2 linked regions of the Schizosaccharomyces pombe genome follow. The protein of the gene in region 1 interacts with the protein of each later gene in a pairwise test. Each region holds a gene or a part of one and is shown on either strand. Other genes may lie near its edges.

Region 1 (12,613 bases):
GATGGTCGAAGCAGCAAAATGCTTAATACAAGAACAATATATTAACATCGTTCGCAACACTGGTGATAACTTTCCAATCAAAGACTTTATAACAATGCATTAAAGGTTGAAACACAAGAAACACCGATGATGGGGTTAACGAAGTATTCTTGTCGATTAAAGCCATATAATTACGGCTTGGGATAGAAATTTTCATGTACAGTGTCAAGATTGTCAATCCATGTACTAGTGAATATAGTCTAAAGAAAAGAAGCTTGATGATCGTTTCTAAAGACTTACAACGAGGTCACACTCGATTGTTTAATTCTGCTGAACTTTTTTTTTAATGTTGAAACATAATACGCAGGTTAAATCTGGAATAGTAATTCTGCAGTAACGCTTGTCCTATCCTTTTGGATACCTCTTGTTAGTTAACTTTTAAAACCCCAAGAGGAAACAACATCTTTCAAAAACTGTCTTTTCGATTAATTGCGAAATGGAGGTGTTCTCATGAAGAGGGAAGAGAAGAAGAACGTGTCCAATTTCAAAGCTCCAAAAACGAGTACTTTTAGAGTTAATTTTAAAATGTAAATGCTTACTGTATTTTTATAGTCCCGGGAAGTGTAAACACAATGAATCCATCATCTTCGCGTACTCAATTCTTTGAATTCACCAACGTTGCAAATTTGCAAAACTGAGAAGGAAAATAGGTCAAGTTGATATAGAAACAGTAGATTTATATGTCTTTATATTACAAATGATGGAATAAAAACATTTAAAGGGAAAAAAAGAATAGTTATGTGAAAAGTAAACACACAAAATAGCATTTGCTAAAATGGGTCTTTGCAAAATTTTAATCAAACATTCAAGATTTTGATAACACAGTTCTTTATTTTTTATTTTAACAACAAATATAGTATATTCTAATTCCATGCATGCATGGTAAATGCTCATTCATGCACTTTTCTTAGTAGGTATATATATATATATATACGATGATTCTAACGGGCTTTATTCTGCAATTTCATTTAAACACCAAAAGTCATACGGCTATTATATTTGACTCTTTCAGCTGGGAATTAAGTTTTGCTTTGATTTTTTGCCTTTTTCTTGTTCAATAACAATAGCTACTCTATTAATGTGAATAACACTTGTGCAATTAGGATGCTTGTATGGCTTCTTTACAGACATTGTTATCGATTGCTTACTAGCTAAATCAGCCGTTAATATACAAAAATGGTAATTGACTTAATAACAAAGAAACGTGTCAGGTCTGAAATATCGACTGTAGATATGAATGAATGCGCTCAGGTTGAGTATTCTTTTAATCGAAAAACTGAGTAAATCGATCTCCATATATTCATCGACTTTAAATCAACCTCCTTGGAACCGCAAACGTGGAAACCTTTCCCTTGTTGATGATCAAGCTGTCTGCTCCATTGTTTACAGACATGCAAAAAATCAAGCTTAAAGCACATTACCAACAAGAAGCGAACAACCCTCCAGAGTCACTGTGGTAACATTCATGGCTTAGCCGAAGGGATATTCTCCAAGGTCTCGATTCCTAGGAGTGAACAATGCTCAGCTATCAAACACTCCTCTGCAACGAGCGGAAAATTGGTAATAATGCACACTGTAACCTCGGACCTTTTATGACTGGTTTTCTTTCGCCACCTCGGTGCGAAATCTAAAAAGTGTATTGAGAAAAAAAATTGTGGGGAAACCGACTTGTATTGATTAAGGAGACGCGGGCATGCATGTATGTCTTTCCTTTAATGTGAGAAGGGCTTAAAGTTAAAATACTTTCTTAAAGGCAACTGCAACAGTTGAAATCGATTAATGCGCCGCTTACTACAACAAAAAAAAAATTCGCAGTTTAAAAATCTTTAAGAAATCATATTCACATTACAGTCTGTGATTGTGGAAACTTATTTTTTCAAAGATCCATCAAAAAAGATTAAACCGTTTTACATGGCTGTTATTTACCAAATTTTCCTTACATCAAGCCTTTCAAAATATCACTCTTTTTATGTTTACAAAATGTTAGTTTTGGTCAATTTCTTCTCGTATGATTTTATATAGACGCCTTCAAGATTCAGTGTAAACGAAAAAAATAATAGCATGATTTTTTTTATCGTCATGGTGATGCCTGAACACAAAGACAGAGTGGCTTTTATTTATTATTTTATCAAGCAAAACTCCTTTAATAATAGCAATCACTTCAAAATTTCGCATCATCTGAAGCCTTTGTTTACTATTCTGAAGTCTTGAAAGGGTAATATCTTTCTTCCACTTTGAATAAACATAAAAGTAAAAAAAAAAGTTCCTCTGTTTTTCTCTTTTGAAAAACAAAACGTTTTTCTTGATTCATCCTTATAAAATTGCATTTAGTACTGTCACGAGCATTTGAAGCTTTCTAAGGATTACTTACTCCCTAGTTGTTTAGATTAGCATTTCCATTTTCGTTTTCTCTTTCTTCAGAACAGTCTCCATTAGAATTGGACTATAGTTCGTTGCTAACAAGTTCGTCTCTCCATTCATTACTGTATACATTACACTCTATCGTTTTTCGGATTGCAAGTGCAAACCTTCTAAATCTTTTTAAAAATACTTTTGCCCCTTCTGCTGTTAACCCATTGTTGATATTAGAAAACTGTTAGGATGGTGAAAGTCATATATAAATTTGCAGTTTTTGCTGCCGTCAACTTTTTCTTGATGAGTTCCATCGTTCTTTACTTCAACAATGAATTCTTGATGTTTGCAGACAGATGTACCAAGGACATCATTCCTTCCGAAGAACTAAGATATTTACGCCAAGTTCTTAATGATTCAATTCCTTCCAAAGATGAACCGTTGCCAACTTTGAAACTTGATTCCTTGAACGATATTTCAGGGGAACCTGTTATTCCAAAAATCATTCATCAAACCTGGAAAACCACAGAAGTGCCTGAAGGATGGAAAGGTGCTCAACAGAGCTGCATAGATTTACACCCAGATTACGAATACATCCTTTGGACTGATGAAATGTCTCGTAATTTCATTGCTGATAACTATCCTTGGTTTTTGCCATACTTCGATGCTTACCCTTTCAATGTTCAACGAGCGGATGTTATTCGGTACTTCGTTCTTTATCATTATGGAGGAAATTACATTGATTTGGACGATGGATGTCGTCAACGGTTAGATAGTCTTCTCTATTATCCCGTATGGGTTCGCAGGACCGACCCTGTAGGCGTTTCCAACGATGTTATGGGAAGTGTTCCTCATCATCCATACTTCGAACTGATCATTCAAAACCTCGAAAAAAATGCGAAGTCATATTGGCTTCCCTACTTGACTATCATGTTGAGTACCGGTCCCCTTTCAATCAGCTTTCTCTGGGAAAAGTACAAAAGACAACTACCCAACCCACCCGCATTTTACGACCACATTCGTGTTTTACTTGAAAGGGATTACAAGTTTTCCAACGACTCTTATTTCACCTTTTATGAAGGATCGTCATGGCATAATAACGATGCAGGCATTATCCTTTGGGCTAACCGTCACCTTGCATATGTAATCGTTGCAGGATTTTGTCTTTACTTTATCCTTAGCTATATGTTTTTCTCCAAGCTGTTGGACAGCCGTTATGTCCAAAGATTTGTCACATCGAAACGTAAACAACCTACACTTCCTCTTGCTCTTCAAGAAGACGTCTAACTTTGTGCATTGTACGTTTCCGTAAAATATGCGTCTTCTTTCCTAAAGATGATATTTCAAAGCTCTAGTGTGAACAGGCAACTTCGTTTCAATTTATATTGAATGGTTACACGAATGAGCATCCCCTTTTCCGTTCTACTATTAGGAATTCAATGAACATTTGCTATTGCTTGTTATACTGTGATTACGAGACGGTGCATAGAGAATTGCGTTGAAACTCGTTAAGGAACTATGAAATCTTACCACATATAGAGGAGCCTCAACCTTCACCACCAAACACAAGCTACGTACGCGAACGCGAATTCTAGGGCAGAGTTCGCTGGTTCACAAAAGTTTGAACATCCTATTTAACTAAAAGGTTGTTCAGATCTATTCAGCTTTGTGATTGCATAGAACTCCCATTGTTTGTTATTCCTTCCATGGATGCGGAAGGTGAACAAAAGTCCAATGGAGTAAAAGAACCTAATACGCCCCTTCGTGAAGCACTGGATGAAATATTTTTAAATGTAGGGTATTTGCTTCGTTCCCTTTTGGCTAATGTTCCCAATGCTCTTTACCATAGTCAGTTGCAGGCGGCATGTCAAAAATTCCAGGATTATTGCGATTTGGAAGAAATACGCATTATTGAAGCAAAACGTGTTGTTGAGCGCGATTTAAGATCTTTGGAAGCAAAAGAGGTAGAGGAGAAATCTCAGTTCGCGTCTTTCGTGAGCGCTACTCCACCTGGAGCAAACAGTCTTCAAGGCAATGTATCTTTGCCCTCGGGCAATAACTTTTTCACTTCCTCTTTTGATTCTGAGAACATTTCGAAACCGGGAGAGGTTTCTTTAAGCGAAAGTCAGTTACTGGGTAACTTGAACCAACAATCATCAATCCAGCTTCCTGATAGGATGCCAAAAACAACTAATGGGACTTTAGCAGATCCAAATATGCCACCTAAGACAACTGTAAATGATCAAGACGTAACAAAGGATGCATCTCAGCAATTTGGAGGCTCAAACTTTTCTAATTATTTAAGAGACAACGATTCCTTCCAATTTGGAATGAATACGGATGCATCGGGAGATGCTCATCTGCAGGCCAGTGAGTTTTTATTACCGAATCTATTTGGAAATTCTTCTACCTCTCCGCAAGACAACTTTGGTACTTCCAATTCAGCTCTTTCCCGTAATTTGGATTTGTTTGGCTCCCCATCTTCTGAAAATAAAAGTACTGCAGGATCGGCTTCTTTGTTTCCTAACCAGCAAATGGGAATTGACTTGCAAGCACAAGAAAACTACAGTGCTGCGTTCGGTAATGATGGCAGCTTTGCTTCGCATTTAACTAATACGTTTGACAACGCTCTAAATCTTCCTACAGACATTCCAACCACTGAAAGCATAAATGACTTGTTTGGTGAGAACTTTGACTTCACCATGACAAAATGAGTTGAGTTGACTTCAGTTCAGCTATGTATGATCGGTTTAACGTGGTTGTTTCAATTTGTCAATGTTTTTTTCATGTATTATTATCTATTACTATAGTCATTCATTTCCAGATCATTCAACAAAAAACCTATAAACGGTAATTATAAAAAACAATTGCATGTCTTTATCCGGTGAGTATCATTTGATTGTATTGCTCTGCACCTTTATGTATGAAAACTAGAGTTGAGACAGTAAGTAGAAAAGCGTTGTCTTTTTCCTATGTTTAGGCCAATGCTAAAATCTCGAATACTTGGTACAATTAGTGTATGTATATATATTTTTACGTGCAAATGGTATTTTAGCAGGAACGGGACAAAATAAAGACAACCCGTAACTTCAGAATAATAATTATAATTCGACTTTTAAATCGAAAATTAAAGACGATAAAAGGGTAAAATAAATTTTTTTTGGTGAACGTATAGCCTTTGTTATAAACACCAATGCATGCACGCAAGTACATTCATAATATTTGCGAAGCAATTGTAAATAAAAATACCGAAAACACTCACGAAGAACCTTAAAAAGAGTGAAATGTTTGTACCTTTAAATGGGTATGAAGAGGGCTAATGATGAATATACGATTGATTCGAACAGTGGCACGCAGATTGGAGGAAAAGGTAGCAAATCATGAAAAAAGAAAAAAGAAACTAGATTTGGACAGATTTAGGATCGATATTTAGACACATTACTTTTAGACAAAAAAGAAGAACAAGAGAAACATGCACAAAGTGGTTTATAAAAAGAAGAGTAATTAATTAGAAAAAATAAGTCGACCCAAAGGAAAACCATGTCCAAATGAGAATACAAGGTCCATAAATAAAGGAAAAGAATCGATGCAATTACAGTGCTTGGTAAACAAAAAAATAGGATTAAGTCATTCCGGCTTCCAAACAAGTACTGTGGATGAGGTAAAGACATCGAAAAACCGTTACGAAACAACAGAAAGCACATCATTGAATCCATCAAATACCTAATAATAGTCATTACTGTATGAATCATTATCAGCGGTAAGTCCTGAATCATCGAGATCACCGGGATTGCGAGTCAAGTTAACTACAATACAAGTGATATTGTCTGTACTAAGACGTTTTAATGCAAATTCTACCAGGCGAACAGCGGCTTCGCGAGGGCTTACGAAATTGCGAACAAAGTCGACAGCTTCCTGATCCGATACTACATCCCACAAGCCATCACAAGCGATAATGAAGAACTCATCATGACCGTTCCAGATTCGGGTTTCAGTGGTGAAGGGATGCGCACTGACCAATTCCTTAAGATAGGTATCACCTAAGGCCCTTGTGACAGCAAGAACGCCATTAATTCGGTTTTGTACCATGAGACCACCCAACTGGGTCACACGACGAGACTCATTGGCATCGGATCCCTTGTGATCGTAAGAAAGTCGAATAGCCTTACCATCACGGCATAATACGATACGTGCATCACCTGCATTAGCTGTGTAGAGAACACGGCGGGTGCGGTTTTTCTCATATCTAAAGAAAGCAACTGCAGCGGTACAACCGCAAATGTCATTGTGAGTAGCCTTTGCAATTTTGCTGTTGACCTCGACAAATGTTTCGTCCATTAGGTCTGTGACCAGCCGGTCCGGCTCATTCCTAACCTTTTCCAAAAGTACCTTGTGAAGATTCTTCTGACAGTAGTCAGATGCTTGAATGCCAGCATGTCCGTCATAAACGGCAACGAAGCCGTCGTCCTGATTACCCCCAAAATCATACAAGCAAATATGAGTATCCTCCATAGACCTACGCCATCTTTGGTTTTTATCCTCCATCAGTCCAGCAAGCCAGTTAGAGGCTTTACTAGGGCGCGAGTTACCAACTGGGACTGTGTTGCCTTTACTATCCTTCATCTCAATTGCAATCGGTCGAGTTTCTCCATCCGCCGAATGATCACTAGCGTTTTTTCGATGTCCACTTGTAGAATTTTCAGAAAATGGGTTCAACTTGTGAAGTGGTTCCAACAGGGAACCTGCATTTGGATGGCTTCCCTTCATATTCGTTCAAACACTTCAGTACCGACAAAAAAATTGCTTTTCAAATTAACTAAATACCTTCAATTATAATATCAGGTATAAAATTGCTGATTGTATAGTATATACGAGAAACACCGATTTTCCTTGGGTTTCTGCGTAAGTATAAACTTGTTAAGTCAGTCAGTGCTAATAAACTCGGGCATTTACGTCACGCGTGGTATACCGAGATCTTCGGAAATCATTTTTACGTACTAGGTTAACTTCCACTAAACCGTTATCCGCTCTGCATTGAACTACATTATAATACAAAAATGCTAACAAAAGGCTATTAGAAAATTAGAAATAGTAAGCAGCAATAAGCTGTTGTTTTGAATATATGAACTAAACGTTTGATTTATTCTAGACAAAAATATTGAACCATGTATTGAAATCCTTCGACTTTTACACTTGCTTTCGCGTGACTTTGGTTCGCATTACTGAAAAAAATTTGTCATGTGTTCGTCTAGTGAATTTGCTAAATATCAATTATCCGGTCTACCCATAATAATCAATTAGAAACGTTTCGCAACATAAACATGCTAACAAGAATAACAGTGTTCATATAAATAATTAAAAGTAACTTTTTCCGTATGTAAAATAAGGATGTGGCTTTGTCCATATCGGCTTTCATAATACAATTAATGAAATTATAATTTGTTTGTATAAGCAAAACAGACAGAACTATCACGAAGTATCCAAAATTTCCATAAACCGAGCCTCAAAGATGAAGTCGAAGAACATTTGAGAAGATTAAAAGAAATAGTGTCCAACTTCTATTTTGCGACAAGATTTATAGAATGCTTGTCGCATGCTCTTGGCTATGCCGCCAACAATAAGCAACGACTTGAAATATTTTAATAATCAAGGGGGAGGTAATAACGGCTCATGGTATGAAAGAAAATAAAATAAATTGCTTTAGAAATAAAAAGAACGAAGGACGGATTTGAGGGGACATGCCTTGGGAGTTCTTACGCAGTAAGGACTTTAACAGCAACAATCATTTTTTTGCGGTTAAGAAAACGAATTAAGGATGTCATTATCAAAATAAAAATCATAAAAAAGCAAGAAGACTCGAATAATGAAAGATGTCAATTTTGATCACACATGACTTCTTGATAAAACAAAAAATTAAAGAACAAGGGTAATGTGTGAAGCAAAGGTACGCCTTTATCGCTCTTTCAACAAGTGTTTTCAACGGATAAATGCCTGTCAGCAGGGACCATGGGCGGACTACTTGGCATCACCAAATCTGTCATCAGAGGAATATCGCGTCTTTCTTCATTATCGAGTTGAGAATTCAACCCCAATTCTAAAGAAAAATCATATCTTTCTGGTAATTGAGGTGAATTCTCAATGTTATTGGATTTTGCAACCGAAGACAATGCCTTTGATAAATCAAACTTTGGCTTATGCCTTGGTGTCAATACGTTTTGGTCAGGGTCAGACAAAAATAACTCTGACCTCCAGGGTGATGGACTTTGTTGTTGCTTTTGTAAGGTAGTTGGTTTTGGAGGGGTTCTGAAATAGCACTCTAAATCATCATTTTCTTTTTCTGAATCGCAAACAGGCAGAGTTGGCTCTGTCTCTTCTTTATTTACTTTAGGCATAGGCTTTGTTGTGGTTTTCAAAGGAAAAGCGACGTTTTCCTTGTCAGTACACATGAAATCAGTTTTTCTTAAAACATCATTTTGTATATTGGCACTTAGTGAATTTGGTAATACCAGCCAACTATCATTAGACCCAATTTCGGATAAAGGCTCACGAAATGATGTATCAGGAGTAGGTGCAACAATGGGAGATGATTGTATGCGTCTGAGGTCATTTTTCAGCTTAGCAGTACGGGGACCTCCTCTGGATTTCTGCTGATTAACAACAGAGGGTTTTGAGATATGATTGGGATCAGGTGCAGAGTGTGTTGAGTCTAAAGACGTAAGTCTATTCAGAGGAGAGTGCCGTCCTGCATTTTCAAGCTCACGGAAGATGGATATAGATAGTTTTCGTTGCTGGGAAAGTTTATATACGGCTAACTCAAGCTGAGCAAATGCATCATTTTCCAACGGTTTCTCTGTTTCAAATGCTTTATAGGTAGACCATAAATTTCTTGGACGCATCGAGCGCCGACTCGTCCAATATATACCACATGCATTACAAAGCATCAAAGTTATGTTCATGTACGTAGCATTGCGCCAATTGGCAGTTTTGATGGTTCCACAGTTTTGACAATATGGTGGAATTTTCCCTTCTTGCAAGCTCAAGGTAAGTTGTTCTTCAATTCGATTCTTCCCACGTACATTGGTAAACTTTTTCTCAATGCGCCCACGAGCTATTCGAACTTGTTCTTTAATAAATTCATGAACTTGTTCACGTTCAGATGGATTTTGTAGCTGAGCTGCAACATAAGCCGACTCTGGCGAAATGGTGCTACTTTCACGTCGGCGTTTTTTTGTGCTTACTGCAGAATTTACAGTAGTAGACGACGCAGAACATACAGGGTCAGTAGCAGGATGGTCAAGCGCCGCTTGATGATCGAGTATGTATGGCTCAGAGAAAGAAGTTGCAGAGCATGAAATGTCATTTGACGCATGGAACAAAGAATCTAACTCAAGCTCTTCAACATTTGTTTCAGCTAATGCGGAGGGACGTGAAGGAGATTTTAATTCGCGGACAGACTTTTGTTTGGAAAGACCGTTTATGTTGACAGGACATGTATAGTTCGTATCAAACAAAGATCCAGAAATAGAATCGGATTTTTCGGAAGATGATGGATCAAATATAAGAGATGGAGGTAAAGTGGAAGATAAAAATTTAGAAGACGTATGTGTTTCTGGAGTTCCAACCTCGAAGGAGTTCTGCAAGGATTGGAATCTCAACTTGATTTCTATGGACCGTTGAATACCGAACTCTACAATAAACCCATTCACCCAAACTGTGTCGGAATTTGACGTGCCAGCATTAAGAGTAGGAGATAACAACAAAGAAGACCAATAGCCTAGTCCGACGAAGAGTTCATCTGGTTCCGTATGGTCTAAAAAATACACGCTAAAATCACCTTGTGATTTGCAACTCAATTCAGGACTACAGCGGCAAACTGTTTGTATAACATGCTGAATGTCTACCTGGCAAATCACTTTTTTCGGTTCCACTTCCTTCAGCACCTGAATGGGCACAGCATGTTGAGACTTTGCTAAACAGCGAATCGCGGATGCGCGATCAATACAATAAATAACACGAACTAAACACAGACAAACATTAGAAAAAATGAATAAAATTATGAAAGACAAATGAAGAGCTAAAGAGCAAAGCCATTTAGCTGGAAAAGCAAGACATACGAGGTAAAGACGTTACCGTGTTCAGAGACTTTTCCATCATTGTTCGCGAAGGGGAGACAATGGCTTGGGTCTCGTAGCTTCAAGAGTTCCTCCTCCTTCAACGAACGAACACTTTGACAATCAATTCGTATTCTATAGGGGAATATCGATGAAGAATGTGTTGTGTTGTTGGTGGGTTAAATCTTTGGCTAGCATGAAATGAATGTCGAGTCGCGCTTCCTAATGAAAATTCCGGGCATCCAAAGATACAGTAAATTTTAAATTTTATAATAAAAATGTATATGAATGTCTATTTTTTAAAAAAATAACGCGTGAATTATCGCGTTTTCGAAGATATTTGAACAACCCAGTTTTTGACTTGATTTACTTAAGACTTTAGATACGCTCGAAACGACACTAATCCCCATATTGTTACTTGGTAATGTGTGTTACCTAATGTTTGGAATTTTATAACAAATGGTATTTCCATTATAAAAAGTAAAATAAAGGCATTGAAAGCATAAATTATTTATTTTTCAATATATTATATAATTGCTAAATTCCTATATTTATTAATGAGTAGGCAATATCGTTTACTCTCATGGATGCTGAACTTTTCCAAGCTCACTATGACCGCCGAAGCTAAAAGCGATAATGGTAACTTTTAATTTCTGGCAAGTAAAATTCTTTGAGCATCACTTTTCTTGTGCTCTTTATATAATTGTTAGGAATTGAATGCTTTTATGTTTATTAAGGTTGTTACAAAACAGGTTGGTATCATTATTATGACCAAAATGAGAGCTTGAACTTATGTACTTATATATATAAGGTTAAAAAGTATTCTAGCTCAAGGTTTATTTATGATTATTATAATATCGAGTATATTTAGACTTGTAGAGGTGATTTATACGGCCGCTGCTTCAATAACAAGTAAACGTGATAAATGTAACAGATTATACTAAAAATGAAACAAGAGACTTTCTTGGTGTGCTAGTGATCGGAAGCACGAAGCGCGCAATTGAACACAAGTCATACAACTATTTAAAACCAATGCTACTCTAAGTTTTCTTTTTTTTTAAAAAAGATATGCTTTTGTATTTTTCTTTGTATTTATGATTGCCCTTTTTACGATTTCCACCGCATCGAATTTGTCTTCTCACGATAAATGTTTACACTAGGCACTAGGTATGCTGAACATTCAATTGTACAGCTGCCCAGTCGCATTTAAAAAGTATTGGAAATCTTTTTATTATAAAGCCCTTTGTTATGCAATTCAGCAAGTTATATACTGAAGATTTTGGGCTCTCTAACTTGTCTGTAATCACCATTGAAACTGTAACACACATGGGATGAATAGAGAATATTTTACAAAAGAAAAGAGAGGGTTTTAAAATACAATGAACGAAAGGGATTTCTGCTATGAACTCTGAACTTCCTCATTGAAGGTACAACGAGTAAATTAAATTAAGTTAACAGTTATTATAGCAAATTAGAGATTATAGGTATGGTAGACGAGGAAAAAGTTAATTCAAATACTCTTTCTAAAAGTTGTATTTTAATTAATCCTTATAGTACTTTAGTACTTTCGTTGTGAATTTTAAGAGCTATTCGAAACTGTAGTATCACTCATTTCATTGGTCACTCAAGGAGCTTTCGAAAACGAAAAAGTTGTAAAATTAATTTTGTTTATTAGTTGTATATTATTTTATCCTTTATACCCACATGGCATTGCATGCTGGGTTTAACGGCTCCCCAAGCAACTTAACAAAAATATTTTCATCAATCTTGGTAATAAAACACGATATTTTCAAATTATAATATAACTTTTTAGTCGTACTAGAGTTGATATCTTCGAATGAAGAATTTCGCTACTGCCTAAATAGCATTCTGTTATTATTCTCTACTTTACTATATACCTCCTTTTAGGACCAAACTCGACAACTAGGCCAGAACATCATAAAACCTGGATTCTTCCACACTCTTTTAATTTTAAGACAACTGCAGGTCGGTTCCCATTAGTTTTGAGAAGCTGTACCATGGATGTCTGGGAATCTCAGCACTTTTCCGCTCTTTTATACTTATTGCAGTGTATCGAAAGTAATCCCAGCAATCCAAATGTTTCTTCTCGT
Region 2 (13,494 bases), on another chromosome or scaffold:
ACACTTACTCTGATGCCACTTTCATCAAGGTTGATGTCGATCAATTAAGTGAAATTGCAGCTGAAGCTGGCGTTCACGCTATGCCCTCTTTCTTCCTTTACAAGAATGGTGAGAAGATTGAAGAAATCGTAGGTGCTAATCCTGCTAAATTAGAGGCTTCTATTAAGGCGAACCTCTAATTTACGCAATCTGATAGTTAGTTGTTATGAACTTGTAATACAAAATATTTTTATTTAACAAAAATAAATGTTTTGCTTTTCTTTGTGTATGCACCGTTGTAATTTATTGGGAAAAGTATTTTTGTCCTAGCATCTTTTCTACTGAAGTTGCAGAACGGCGATTTGCGTACAATTATCGCAATAATAGTAATGTGCCATCGACCAGGCGTAGTAATCTAGTCATGGGCATTTTTCAGACAAGCTAGCTAATTTGCGACCGCCTTGAGCATTTGTAATATTTAATACGACTTTTTGGTTAGGCGTTCGTGACTCTGTTCTACATTATTCTCCTATCCTTCTAAGATAGACATTGGAGAGTGTATACCAATTTGGAATGATACCATTTGGATGAATAAATATCCTTTTTGATTACATGCTCAAATACATGCTACTCTTTATTTATAACATTATACAATTAACCCAACGAATATTTATGTTGATCTGAGTAGCAAACATATTTTTGTATTCTATTAGAATAAAATCTTTAATATTCTCGTTAAGTATTGTTTTATAACAATCAAATTTCACATTTATGGAGTAAAATCACAGTAATGATTACGCTCCGTCGACATGTTCTTAACACTTACATCCTAACATACATTGTTCGTCTAACGAGTTTCATTAAAAACACAATTTTTCTTAAACAAAAAGGAGTTCCTTTCTATGTGAAAGAACTCTACCAATTTTCCATTGTCTATAATAAGCGTTACTCTTAAAAACCTGGGATCTGTCTACATTATTTGCTAAAGTCTCGTATTTTATCAAAAGTTAACCAATGTCTTCAGTTGAGACAAGAAATTCTTTTAATCCTTTTCGGGTATTATTTGATCTTGGTTCCTATGGCTGGTTACATCCTTCAAGGCTCCTTCTGTTGGAAATTCCTTTTGTCTTTGCTATTATTTCCAAAGTTCCCTACACGGAGATAGACTGGATTGCTTACATGGAGCAGGTGAATTCATTTCTATTAGGAGAAAGAGATTATAAATCTCTTGTCGGATGTACAGGCCCTCTGGTCTACCCTGGAGGGCACGTATTTTTGTACACCCTTTTGTACTACCTTACTGATGGAGGGACCAACATTGTAAGGGCGCAATACATTTTTGCCTTTGTATACTGGATTACAACGGCTATTGTAGGGTATTTGTTTAAAATTGTCCGCGCTCCTTTTTATATATATGTTTTGCTTATACTTTCAAAACGTCTACACAGTATATTTATCTTACGTTTATTTAACGATGGATTCAACAGTTTATTCTCTTCCCTTTTTATTTTGTCTTCATGCAAAAAAAAGTGGGTTAGAGCTTCAATTCTACTAAGTGTCGCTTGTTCTGTCAAGATGTCCTCCTTGCTTTATGTCCCAGCTTATTTAGTTCTTTTGCTCCAAATCTTGGGGCCCAAAAAGACCTGGATGCATATTTTTGTTATTATAATTGTACAAATTTTATTTTCTATTCCCTTCCTTGCCTATTTTTGGTCGTATTGGACTCAAGCCTTTGATTTTGGCAGAGCATTCGATTATAAGTGGACAGTAAACTGGAGATTCATTCCACGCAGCATTTTTGAGTCTACATCATTTTCCACATCAATACTTTTTCTTCATGTTGCTTTGCTAGTTGCATTTACCTGCAAACACTGGAATAAACTGAGCAGAGCAACACCATTTGCAATGGTAAACTCCATGCTGACCTTGAAGCCTTTACCAAAACTCCAACTCGCAACTCCTAATTTTATCTTTACTGCATTAGCAACATCCAATTTGATTGGTATATTATGTGCAAGATCCCTGCATTATCAATTTTATGCATGGTTTGCTTGGTATTCACCATATCTATGCTATCAAGCTAGTTTTCCTGCTCCGATAGTAATTGGCTTATGGATGTTACAAGAATACGCATGGAATGTTTTTCCTAGTACTAAACTATCTTCATTAATCGCTGTATGCGTGCCGCTTATTACTATTTTGAAGCTATACACATCCGACTACAGAAAACCCTGATCCCTCTTTACTAATACGCAAAATAAACTTTATAAAAAGCTTAAACACTTCACTTTTAATTACTCATGGTTTTTAAAAAACAAAATTTTTAGTTTTTTCATTTGTGTACCGACTATAAATTTTTGAAAATTAACATCTTATAAAAACGAACATTAGTCTAATCTTTTAATTCGTATCTTTATGCCGTCATAATTCGATGAATATTCTCTTCAATGAAAATCTCAGGGGATTGACAGATTGATAAAAATTCATACATTTAATCATTCGACACTGAAATGAATTAGCACCAGTGTTTTTATCAAATGCTCATTATTACTTTTAAAAAAGCGTTTCTAAAATATAAAACAAACAGTTGCTAAGAACACAAGTGCTTTCCGCACAACTATTGCAAATATTAGAATAAACAAGTTGCTGATTTTATAGCTTGCACCATTGACAGTCACATTTTACTAAGGTTTCATTATATATTTCAGTTCCCTCGTTAAAGTAATTTTGTGATTTGCTGTTTATTTGCATAATGTGAACTTCTTAAGGATACATTCGACCGCTGTAAGCGCCTCTTGTCTGATGTAGCGTAGTATGGATTATGAAAAAAACATATTTAGCGTAACTTGTAATAGTTCTAATAAGCTAATAAGTAAAATCAACTTCTACCAGCTTCAACTGCACTTCAAAATATATTTTTCATAAAAGGTTTAGAATAATTGCTTTTTAAGGGAATGACTATAAACGCAGGCATACATGTGAGAAAGCAACTTTTATCTTACTATAGCTAGTGCAGCGTAATAAATATTTCTTTATATCAGCATATTGGCATTTCGAGGGAATAATGGTGAATATGTAAATGTCTTAAAAATATTAAATATAGAGCCAGTACTAATTGTTAAATAAAATTTAGATAATTTAAAAGCATAAATCCCTTTAGCTAAATAAATGCTTTATCGAATTTGCTCGGTTTGCGTCAGTTCTTCGAATTTCAATATTTATGAATAGAGTATACACTCCATTAAAGAAAAGAATTTTGTGAGCTACTCTGTATAGATTTTGAACCCGTAAAAACAGCAAATGCATAACTGAGCCCTAGATTGTTGGTCTAACGATTATTCTCGTAGCATGGATGCTAGACTTGGAATAACGCGACTAGAATGGTCATTCAAATTAGAAAATAAAAAGGATTGCTATTGCGTTTATCGGCATATTCTTCATTTTTTAAATTTTCGTTAGCATGCATATGCATTAGCCATTTCATGTTCATGTCTTTTCGGAATATTCATTGTTTACTTATTTGCGCCCTTGTATAATGAAAACAACAATAGATCAATCTCTAAAAAATTAAAAGGATCACATAAATATAATTTTTCTTCAATGTCAAAAGCTAGTACACAAAGGAACAACAGAGCTTTGTTGAAAATATAATCAATTTATACATTTATTAGAATTCTGACGAAATATTCATTTATAAGAAAAAATTATCATTTCAAATGTGAAACCTTTATTGTCACATTAGGTCCTTGAAGAAGGGGTCCAGATATGAATGTTGGATACGCGGTAAACCTGACTGCGTTTATTTTACTTCTGTTCAAAATATTTCAGGAAATTGGTTTTTATGTCACAGTATTCAGCATTCCATTGGATGTTTCTTGCTGCTGAAACATCTTTTATTAAATCATCCCCTAGGTGCATACATTCTTCTGGTTGAATCTCCTGTCCAAGAAGTTTAACAGCCTTTTCCATAGCATAATCAAATATTTCCCTGCTTGGTTTTTCAAATCCAACGTCGTACGAAAACGCATATATATCTATTAGATGATCTATGCCGTAATCTTCAAGCACTGTACGAATTCTTTCGTCTGTGTTTGAAATAATACCAATAATGTATTTCCTCTCTTCTTTATTTCTCTTAAGGAAATCAATCAGAAGAGGATGAATCGTGTAACCCGTCTTTTTGGAAAAGTAACTCCATAGCTCTTCAGCCATTTCTGCAGGAACAGGAGTTGGAAAAGAATGTTCGATAACCTAAAATTGTTAGCATGTAAAGGTTTTTTAGAAATCAAGAGATTCAATTCTTTACAAAACACAAATCTCAATGAAATTCAGACACATACTTTGATCCACCAGTCATGAGGATTTAATCCTGACTTTTTTCCATGATTCTTATGCTTTTCACTGAAATCCTTGAATGCTAAATTATTAGATAAATAGAAACCAAAAGCTAACCTTTATTACTATTGTGTTCAATTTCATCAATAGTTGCATGAACTCCATACTTCTGAGCGACTTCGCTGTACACAATTGGAACAGGTTTACTTAAATGAAGGATTGTTCCAAAAGCATCGAACGTAACCAACTTGATCTTTTGGATATTTTTTGAGGGAATCATAATTCCAGGTTGTACTTTGATGGGACACACTACACAAAGCAATTTACATAAGGTACTCCTTACCACCAGTGCGTTGTTCGGTGTGATAAATAATATTTGCAAATCACTTTTATTGCGAGCGATTGCGTTCTACATATTAAATAATATACGAATAGATTAAAAGTTCATTAAAAATTTATCATGTTACAAGACGAGAGACACGCTACAGCAATAGTAGTCGTTAATTTACGTCGGATACCTTACTAGGCGAGACCAAAAAACAAATTTCAGTAAATAATGCCATAACAGATCAAAACCTGAAAAAATAGAAGTATGATAATACCAAATGTCTGTCATATAGAATCAGTCCCACAAATACAAGCAAAGAAAAAGCAAGTGAAGGTATAAGCTAGGTCACATAATGATTTAAAATCTTTCATCGATAGCTTCCACTAAATGCCATATTGTACCTGAAGGCAGGCGAAGCCATTTATCCGTCGAATCATCAGCAGTACGATCTTCAATGGAAGTTACCCTTCCTAACATCCAGTCGCGGCTTTCAAGTTTCAAATGCGGTTGAGTGTTCAAATAATAATGAGGAGCGTTAACATTAAAAGCCGCCCACACCTTTTTGTTACCGGCGGTACGTCGAGTAGGCAAAAACAAGACCAAGGATCCTTGTTTGAAATTCCTTAATGAGACTTTACTTTGAGAGTCCAAAATAGCTTTCAGCGCCTTGTCCCTGTTAGATTGAAATTCACGTTTCCAACGAAGTTCATGATTATGTGCTTGAGTCAAAACACTGACAACAAAGTTATGGAAAGAGTCAAAATCTAAAGAACTCATTCTGTTCAAAAATTCCTGGAAATTCCTATCAGCATCCTCCCCATCCATCCAATAAAGATACTGTAAATCTTTGGAATTAAATTCAATTTGGCGATCTGGAATCGATGCATGGCCATCTCTTTCGTTATCTGAATCAAATCCAGGCTGAGTAACGCATTCCCGAAGAACAGACTGTAACTCATTACACCGGAATACAATGGTATAAAGTTTCTGAGTTAATATCTTACATTGTTCTTTTCGATTCTCGGAAAGTTTGAGTAAATCAGCTTTCTCTGCAAGAGCATAATCTCTCTCTTCAATAATATGTTGTACTGCTTCGGCATCTTTTGCAAGAGTAGCGTATTCGCCCTTTTGCTTCAAACTCGTGAGTTGAAGCTTGAAAGCATTATAAAGTTCTTGCAAGCTATCAACTTTGCCCTCAAATACGGAGTAAAGGTTTAATATGTTCGGTTCATTAGAATGCATCTCCTCGTTTGATTGCTGTTCTGCAACTGCCGCTTCATTTTTCGTAAGCAGTTTCCGTGTTGATGAAAGTTCCTCCTGTAAATTTTCGTATTTTTGTAGCACTTCCTCATTTTCAGTTTCGAGGTATTGGATCTTTTCTTCCTTCCCTTGAAGCTCAATTAATAAGTCCTCATTTCTTTTATTTACCAAATCTAATTCGTTGCGTAATTGATTAACCTCATCTTGAAGTCGTAATATGTGGCTGTCGGTAAAAGAAGTTTTGCGATTAGTTAATTTACGAATTACGTTTAGAGGCACAATACTAGGGGAAACACGGTAAAATGGCTGAGAAGAATTAGACTGCTCATTGATGGGTGGATGTGGAGCATTTGGAGATAAACCATCATTGTTAATGTTATAATTAAAGCCGTTTTGATGGCTTAACATTGCCTCTAAATTATTGCAACGATTTTGATACATTGCCAATTTTTCATGTAATGAATTGTTCGCTTGAACCGTATTGGAAACGGCTTCTCGAGGACTTCCAGGAAAGCCCAAATATTCTGAGAGCCGATTGCTTAGCATTTGATGAAAAGTTTGGTAATTCGGATGTGCTTGAATATTGAGTAAATAATTAGAAATTTCGTCACGAGTTAAAACTGGTAAGTACTTTAGCTGGCCATGATTAAAAAGCAAATTAGAGAAATGACTGAGCCAAGACTTCCTAAGAGAAAGCTCCTTCTCCTGGTCTAAAGGAAGAGAACTATCATGGCTTACATTGTATGATTCCTGCCATTCAGTCCTCCTCAGTGCCTCCATTAAAATGTCGATATATAGCGAAAAAATGTTTCGAGACTGAGAAAGAACGAATTTGCTTCTGTCAAGCTCTTCTGCTATTTGTCGAAGATATTCGTACAATGCATCATATCTAAGAGAAACCTTATAAAAGGAAAGCCAAAAAGATTTCAAAGATATTAGTGATGACTTTCTAGAACTTTTTAATTCCGACAGATTACTTTGAAGTTTTTCCATGCAATCAGTAATTTCGGTTTCGTAATTACATTTTGGTTTGATTTGAGAAGTAGTTGAAGTTGACTCTATTTTAAGGATCTCTTGCAATATATTGGCTGCATCCTGAGCGACGGAACGTAGATGATAATAAGCATCATCTCCTTCCTTGATTGAAGGAACTTCCTTGAATGGGGAAACGATAATACTATTTGCGGCGCCAATGCACTGTTGGACTCGTTTTTGAGCTTCAGCATAACGAGCTGAAATGGAGTTTAACCAGGAGTCCAATTTAGTCCAATTTGTTGAAAGTATTTTAAGAGGAGTAATGGGTAAAGAACCAGTTGGTAGAGCGAGGAAATCATGAAGTAAATCAGACACAGATACTCGATCTAGTCTTTCGTAGAAAACGAAAAGTAAATCTTTCATACCAGATTGTCTTCTTTGTAAATAATTCATTGCAACTTCTGGAGAAACAATACTAGTAGAATACTCATCATGGCATACGCTTAATTGATTATGAATCTTTGAAGAAGACTCTAAAATATCAGATAATAATGAAAGACACTTGCTGATTTTATCTTTCCATTGATCTGAAGAAGAATCAGCTATAATCCCAGTAAGTACATTAGATATTGGTTGTCCTTTCAGAGAAGGAATAGAAGGAATTTTATCACCATCGTAGGTGAAAGTCAACAAGTTTTGATCTAGTACGTAAATAACCACATCACTTTCACTATTTAGTACGGTTTCATTCAAAGACATTCCGTTCGGCAATAATAGTTTTGCTTCATCACTAAGTCCAATATTGAGCTCCATAATCCAAGCTACAAGATTTTGGGGAGTCCATTGTACATTATCTATGGTCCAACTCTTTCCGGAGAATGAATCATTCAATCGAAAACGCATACTGACCTATTGTATTGCTTAACTTTATCATTCGCGATTCCCCAACATTAAACTTGAAATATTTGATCTAAAAGAAAACTCAATATCAGTTATTTATAATCCGTTGCATATAGTTATTCTCTGTCCTTATATTCCGTTTTGTTTGGTAAGTTGGCGGGTTCTATTTGGTTTAGGCGATTGTTGGGTACTAACTACCAAAAGGAGATTGGCATTGTATGAACACTGAGTTGAAGCTGTAAGACAATACAGCTTAAAATTTCAAATGTCTTTTCATTTAGCTTAAAAAAACAATTTTAATTATTGGTTTTATTATGTTTGTCTACTGAAATATATGTCATATGTAGCCGTATACCCTCAAGCTGGTGGGTTCGGAAACTCAGCCTTAACCAAGCATCTACACTGGGTGTGAACGAAAGTGTTGGGGATGCTAATTTACATTGCGGATTTCATATATTTAATTTAAAGATATCTTCTACTTGTTTACTTTTCATTCTTTTAGAATACAAGTATTCTAAACTCGGAAGTATTTTTCTTGTTTTTTTAACCGCGAATCTTTTGGTTACCGATTTCTCTGTCTTTTATCGATAAAGTTTTTAAAAAATTAAAAAAGTCAAAATTTCTCTACTGTAGGAAAAACTTTTGAGCATCTTTTAGCATATTTGGTACATTTTTTTCTGGCATTTGCATAGCTTGTCCTTTAAATCTTCATTTCTTTATTAGTGGTGATTGCACGGCTCATGTTAATTAATTTGGTTTTAATCTAGGGATTAATTATATTCTTTTTATTTGCATTTCACACTTATTCTTTTCTTTACATTTAGCTTCATTTCTGAAATTCTGAATGGGTGACTTTCAATCACGATATGAGATCCTTGCCGCTATTATGGGTCCTCCCAATACAGCCTCCTTTAAAGAGGAAGAGCATTCGGGTTCCCAAACAAAAAACTATCCTGTTGTGGTAAAATGTATTCAGGAACATGATCCCGTCGATACAACCAATGTGCTTGTAGCTGACGACCTTGATTCGAACTTTGAACCATTTTCGATTACAGATGATTATGGTAAATATGAAAACACTTTAGTAAGCCATTCCTCAACAATCTTAAATGAGCCTTACAACGAATCACCCTCATCATCATCTTCTGATTCCTCTTCTCGTTCTACCTCTCCTTTTTCTCAGTTGTCTTCTCAAAGCCTACGCCTTAATGCGGAGGAGATAGCGCCTTCTAGCTTAATAAATAAGGCCGTCCAATCTACCTTACGTCTTTCGGAGCCACTGGTTTCTCCAATAAAGTGTCCTTTATCCGAGCAATTCATCAATTTTATTAATCAGCAGGATTCTGATAAGGTAGTTCTTATAAGAGGGTTTTTATTACCACATTTGGCTTCTTTAACCACTAAAAACGTTTCCGAACCGGAATTGGATAAACTTAGGCATTCTTTGTATAACTGGTGGGTATCCATTCTTCGACGTTTACAATCTAATATTTCTACTTCAGAACGTATCACATATACAAAGGCCATACTTGCTATCGCCAAGCATCATTGTTGGAACAAAGTGGAACACTCTGCTTTATTGTACTTGGAACACCAATTAATACTTTACGATACATTGACATTTGTAGTTCATCTGCTTTCTCAAAAGTCCTTGCCGTATTCATTAACGACATTTTGTGCGAGTATCTTGGTTCTCTCCTTTTTTCAACTTCCACTTTTTGCCGACCATTTCTTGAGCGCATTAGATGTAAAGAAAAAGTACATTGATGCTTTGGGCTCATCCTTCGACGAAAAAATAATGATTATTTCACATAAGTATCTTGCGCCATTTTTTACTGACCAATTTTCCTCGACTATGCATCCGTATTACCCAAAACGAACTTCAACGCCTTTTACTATAGGTTACAATAGGCAGCCTATTGAATTCACACGAGCATGGATGCGTCGCTTTAAGTCTTCTACAGGTGGATTCTTTTTCGAGTTTTTATCATGCTATCATTCTTTTTTAGCTTTGCAATTCTCTTTCGAATTACCTGATAATGTCATATATTTCGCTCCAGGTTACATATGCTTACATGCTTATCTTCTTGAATTAACCATTTCGGTTATACATATTAGCGACAAAAAGCCATTAATGTTACCTACAGGACATGAGCAGTTTCCATGTAAGACTTTACCAGAAGTAAATCCATCAATGGAAGAATACAATCCTAAGATGCCTGTAACTGCCACGACTTTATCGACTCTTCAACAGTTTGTCGGACATATTAAAGATGCTTTTAAAAAGATTGGGGATTGCAGACAAGAGCAGATGCGTTTATTAGCCGTTTTAGAGCAAGTTTTAATTAATGTTGCCAAAAACACCCCTGCTTTTAATCTTCAATCTTGTTTCTTGCTGTGTTCTCTTGTTGAACAGTGTTTCGGGGTATTTAACGATTTCTCACACCGTTTTGATTTTTCTTTTTGGATTTCAGTTGCCAAAAGATTAATATCAACTTCCCACAATATGTCCATTGTTCGTAGTATAACTTTCATTTATGCTGTCTGGCCATATTTAGATATAAAATCTAAAGAATTGGTAACGTTGCAATGGTTACTAGAAGAAAATACTTTCCAGGAATTGTTTCTTCATTGGTCGCCTCTTGTGAGAGCTTATTTTCAGCGCCTTGTATGTTGGAGATTCTTAAAGCTTGATGATATGGAAGAATTCCAATTTAAAGGTACAGTTACTTTACGTGTAAAAAACCTTTTAAAGCATTATTTCACAGCCCAAGCTCTTTACCACGAAGAATGTCTCGTAAACGGTAGGGCATCTCCTATCACAAAACCCAGTGAACCTGTTCCAATGAGGCGGTTAACCATTGTTTGTAATCATTATCAAAATTATGGTAATTCGGAGAGTACCGAATTTGAGCTTTCCAATTATAAACAAGATGATGGCACAATTCAAGCATTAGTCACTGATGTCGTCTCAATTTCAAATAGCTTTTCGAGTGGTTTGAAAAAAGCTTTTGGGTCGCTTTTTAAAAATGTATCTGGTCTCCCTGCTGAAACTGAAATTGCTTATCATCATACTCTTTCTGCTTCGAATTCATATGTGTTTACTGATTTGGTAGATAATCCTGATTCAATGTTAAAATCTACATTGAAATACCGGTTTGTTTTCAAGTTCTCTCCATCCCAACCTCTTTCTTCCCTCGGGAAAAACAAGGAAAAATATGACGCTCTCTTAGAGCGCTCATCACATGGAGTTCTTCCTGTCCAGTCGAAGATGTTGCTGTACAACAGCAATCATATAAGCTGCCCCTTGTCAAGCATCAAAGGTGTTTCAGTAAACGGCAAAAGGTTAGTCTATACCAGCCGTGCATTAGTTGAATGGGCCCTTGTTGTTAATGAATTTGATCATGCGCTTTCTTTACGCAAAGGAAACGAGACGGAGGACATGGAGGCACCCACGTTAACTGTCCGTATTCCAAAATCGTATGCTTCTAACATCTACAATTAAAGAATGGATCTTGTTTGATTAACTTATTTATTTTCCTTGCGCATTTTGAGAATTTGCTTGATATCTATGTTACTGTCCTTCTTTTTTAAATCTGTATGCGATATCCGCTCTTTTTAGTTTTATCAGTTGCTTCTGATAAGTATATTGGAAGCTCAAATTTTTTAATCATTTGTTTCATTTTAGTTAGCTAATATATTGTTTGAAAAATCTTTTAAGTATGCTTACGTTTTATAAAACGGAACAGGTTTGAAGCATTTCTTTAATGTGGGCAATTTGCTTGAGTATATTTTGTCTGCTAGCTGCAAAAAACTGAAAATACTACTTGAATTGTTTGAAACTAGATATGTCAAATGTATATCTAATGTATGTAAGAAAAGGTATATCAAAGAAAATTTAAAGGTCATTTATCAATACTAATTGAATCAACTAGAGAATAGATATACATCCCCCCGGCAAAAGCTGAATGTTTATTTTTTTTACAATAGATTTCTATAAAAGAACAGGCATTCAATTTACGTGTTATCTACTAATTTATCTAGCAGATTTCAAAGTAGGAAAGCCGTAGTTGTTTTTCAGATCAACAATAATCTAGCATTATTTCCTATATCAAAATAAATTCAAATAAAATAAATAAATAAATAAATAAATAGATATAAAAAATTCATTAATTAGAGCTTCTGCATATTCTTTACACTGCCCTCGGCATAGTATAACAGCATTAACCTCTGTTACTTCAAATTTAATGCGCGTTGGAAACTTGACAGTGTCGCATGCTTTACCAACTCAAAAAAAAACAATGAATGTCTCATTAAGCTGAATTATACGAATTAACTTAAGAAAGAGATACCCCCATAATGAATTCGTTTTCTTCAAACGAGTACAGTACAGAAATCAGCACTGAGGCGCTTAACAATTGGCAGCAGCTTGTTGAACAAAGGTAAGTTGAAGCTTAAATTAATTTCGAAGAGAAGCATCTTATTCCATTTGATACTCTCGAATCATTAATTTTTAAGTATTTTTTTAATGATGGGTTATCCTTATTATATTTCGAACTGACACAAATGTGTAATAATTCATTTCAAACTTTGACTAATCTACTTTATAAAGAATTTCATTGGAATTGGAATATGCTGCAAAATTAGCAAAATTGACGAAATCAATTAAAGCGATTAAGCAATGTGCACCCTTAAATGATTTGACCAAACAGGTGTGCGTAGAACTTATGCAATGTAACAAGAAGCATTTGGAAGCGTCCCGTTACTTTCAGACCCATGTTAAAGAGTTTATGAAAGAATATGTTGACAGAGAAAATAAATTCTCCAATGAAACTATTTCTAAGGTATAGCAACAAATATGCAATTATTATTCTGATTCCAATAACACTTTATGTTATGCCTTCCTTCTCTAGCTAGTTAATCTAACGGTGTTATAGAGTTCGGCTGCTGCTTTAATGACAAGCATGGAGAATTTTATTCTTTTTACAAATCCAGTGTACCATAACAAATTGCAAGTTCCTTCTAAAAGTGATATGGAAATTGCGAACTCTTTAAAGATTACTCAACCTGCTGAAAAAAATAGTGGTACGGCAAATCCCATATCTGCTTACTCTTTAGAACATGCGGAACTTGATGAGCGCAATAATCAGCTGAGCGAAGCTTTGTCAATGCTTAGATTAAGTCCTTTTGTGAACAACTATTATCCTTCTTACCAAAATCGTAAGGATGGGAAAAGTTTGATGGAAAATAGGGGGGTAGTTTTGTCAGTGGATACTGTCACATCTCCTATTTCTCAAAGTCCAAAAAAATTAACTCCCACAACTTCTCCAATAAATAGCACATCACTTTCTTTTGTTGATGCAAAAAAACCTGGATCCAAATGGCCTTCTCAATACGACTTTCCTAAAAAGACTAAAAGCACCGAAATCCCATTTAAAACGTTGCCTTCGCTTAATATAAATAATGAGAGAGAACTTACGAAGCACAAATTACCTATAGTTAAACCGAAACTTGCAGTTTTTCCCTCTAATCAAGCAACAGCATCTACCCTTCAATTAGCACCACCTCCAGTCCAAGCGATACCAACTCTCAGGAATCCAGTAAATTTAGATGATAAGAAAGAGTCGCTTTTAAAATATTATGCTACTCATCCTACGATTACTCCGGACGGATTTCCCATTTTTGCTTATGGTGAGTTCTGAATAAAATGCTCAAGT

Evidence for each region.
Region 2: the proteins of ptc1 (region 1) and atg11 interact in a two-hybrid assay, tested with the Schizosaccharomyces pombe proteins (2 studies listed by BioGRID).

What each region holds. Positions count from the first base shown.
Region 1 is NC_003421.2:1,999,224-2,011,836, reverse strand, and holds ptc1 (serine/threonine protein phosphatase PP2C catalytic subunit Ptc1), read right to left. Parts: upstream 7,302-12,613; 5' UTR 7,159-7,301; coding exon 6,115-7,158; 3' UTR 5,445-6,114; downstream 1-5,444. Other genes in the region: SPOM_SPCC4F11.05 (uncharacterized protein), read right to left, coding at 1,048-1,190, 1,236-1,335; mannosyltransferase Imt2, read left to right, coding at 2,641-3,678; SPOM_SPCC4F11.03C (uncharacterized protein), read left to right, coding at 4,098-5,105; GATA-type transcription factor Ams2, read right to left, coding at 8,355-10,408, 10,506-10,545; nucleoporin Nup186, read left to right, coding at 12,521-12,613. UniProt on the Schizosaccharomyces pombe protein: Serine and threonine phosphatase. Has a specialized role in the heat shock response. May be responsible for the dephosphorylation of hsp90.
Region 2 is NC_003424.3:2,625,590-2,639,083, forward strand, and holds atg11 (autophagy associated protein kinase regulator Atg11), read right to left. Parts: upstream 7,963-13,494; 5' UTR 7,781-7,962; coding exon 5,000-7,780; 3' UTR 4,859-4,999; downstream 1-4,858. Other genes in the region: cytosolic thioredoxin Trx1, read left to right, coding at 1-179; dolichol-P-Man-dependent alpha(1-3) mannosyltransferase Alg3, read left to right, coding at 994-2,214; SPOM_SPAC7D4.05 (hydrolase), read right to left, coding at 3,784-4,230, 4,320-4,396, 4,432-4,594; protein ahk1, read left to right, coding at 8,622-11,282; sfp47 (SH3 domain-containing protein), read left to right, coding at 12,137-12,219, 12,390-12,621, 12,715-13,468. UniProt on the Schizosaccharomyces pombe protein: Involved in cytoplasm to vacuole transport (Cvt), pexophagy, mitophagy and nucleophagy. Recruits mitochondria for their selective degradation via autophagy (mitophagy) during starvation.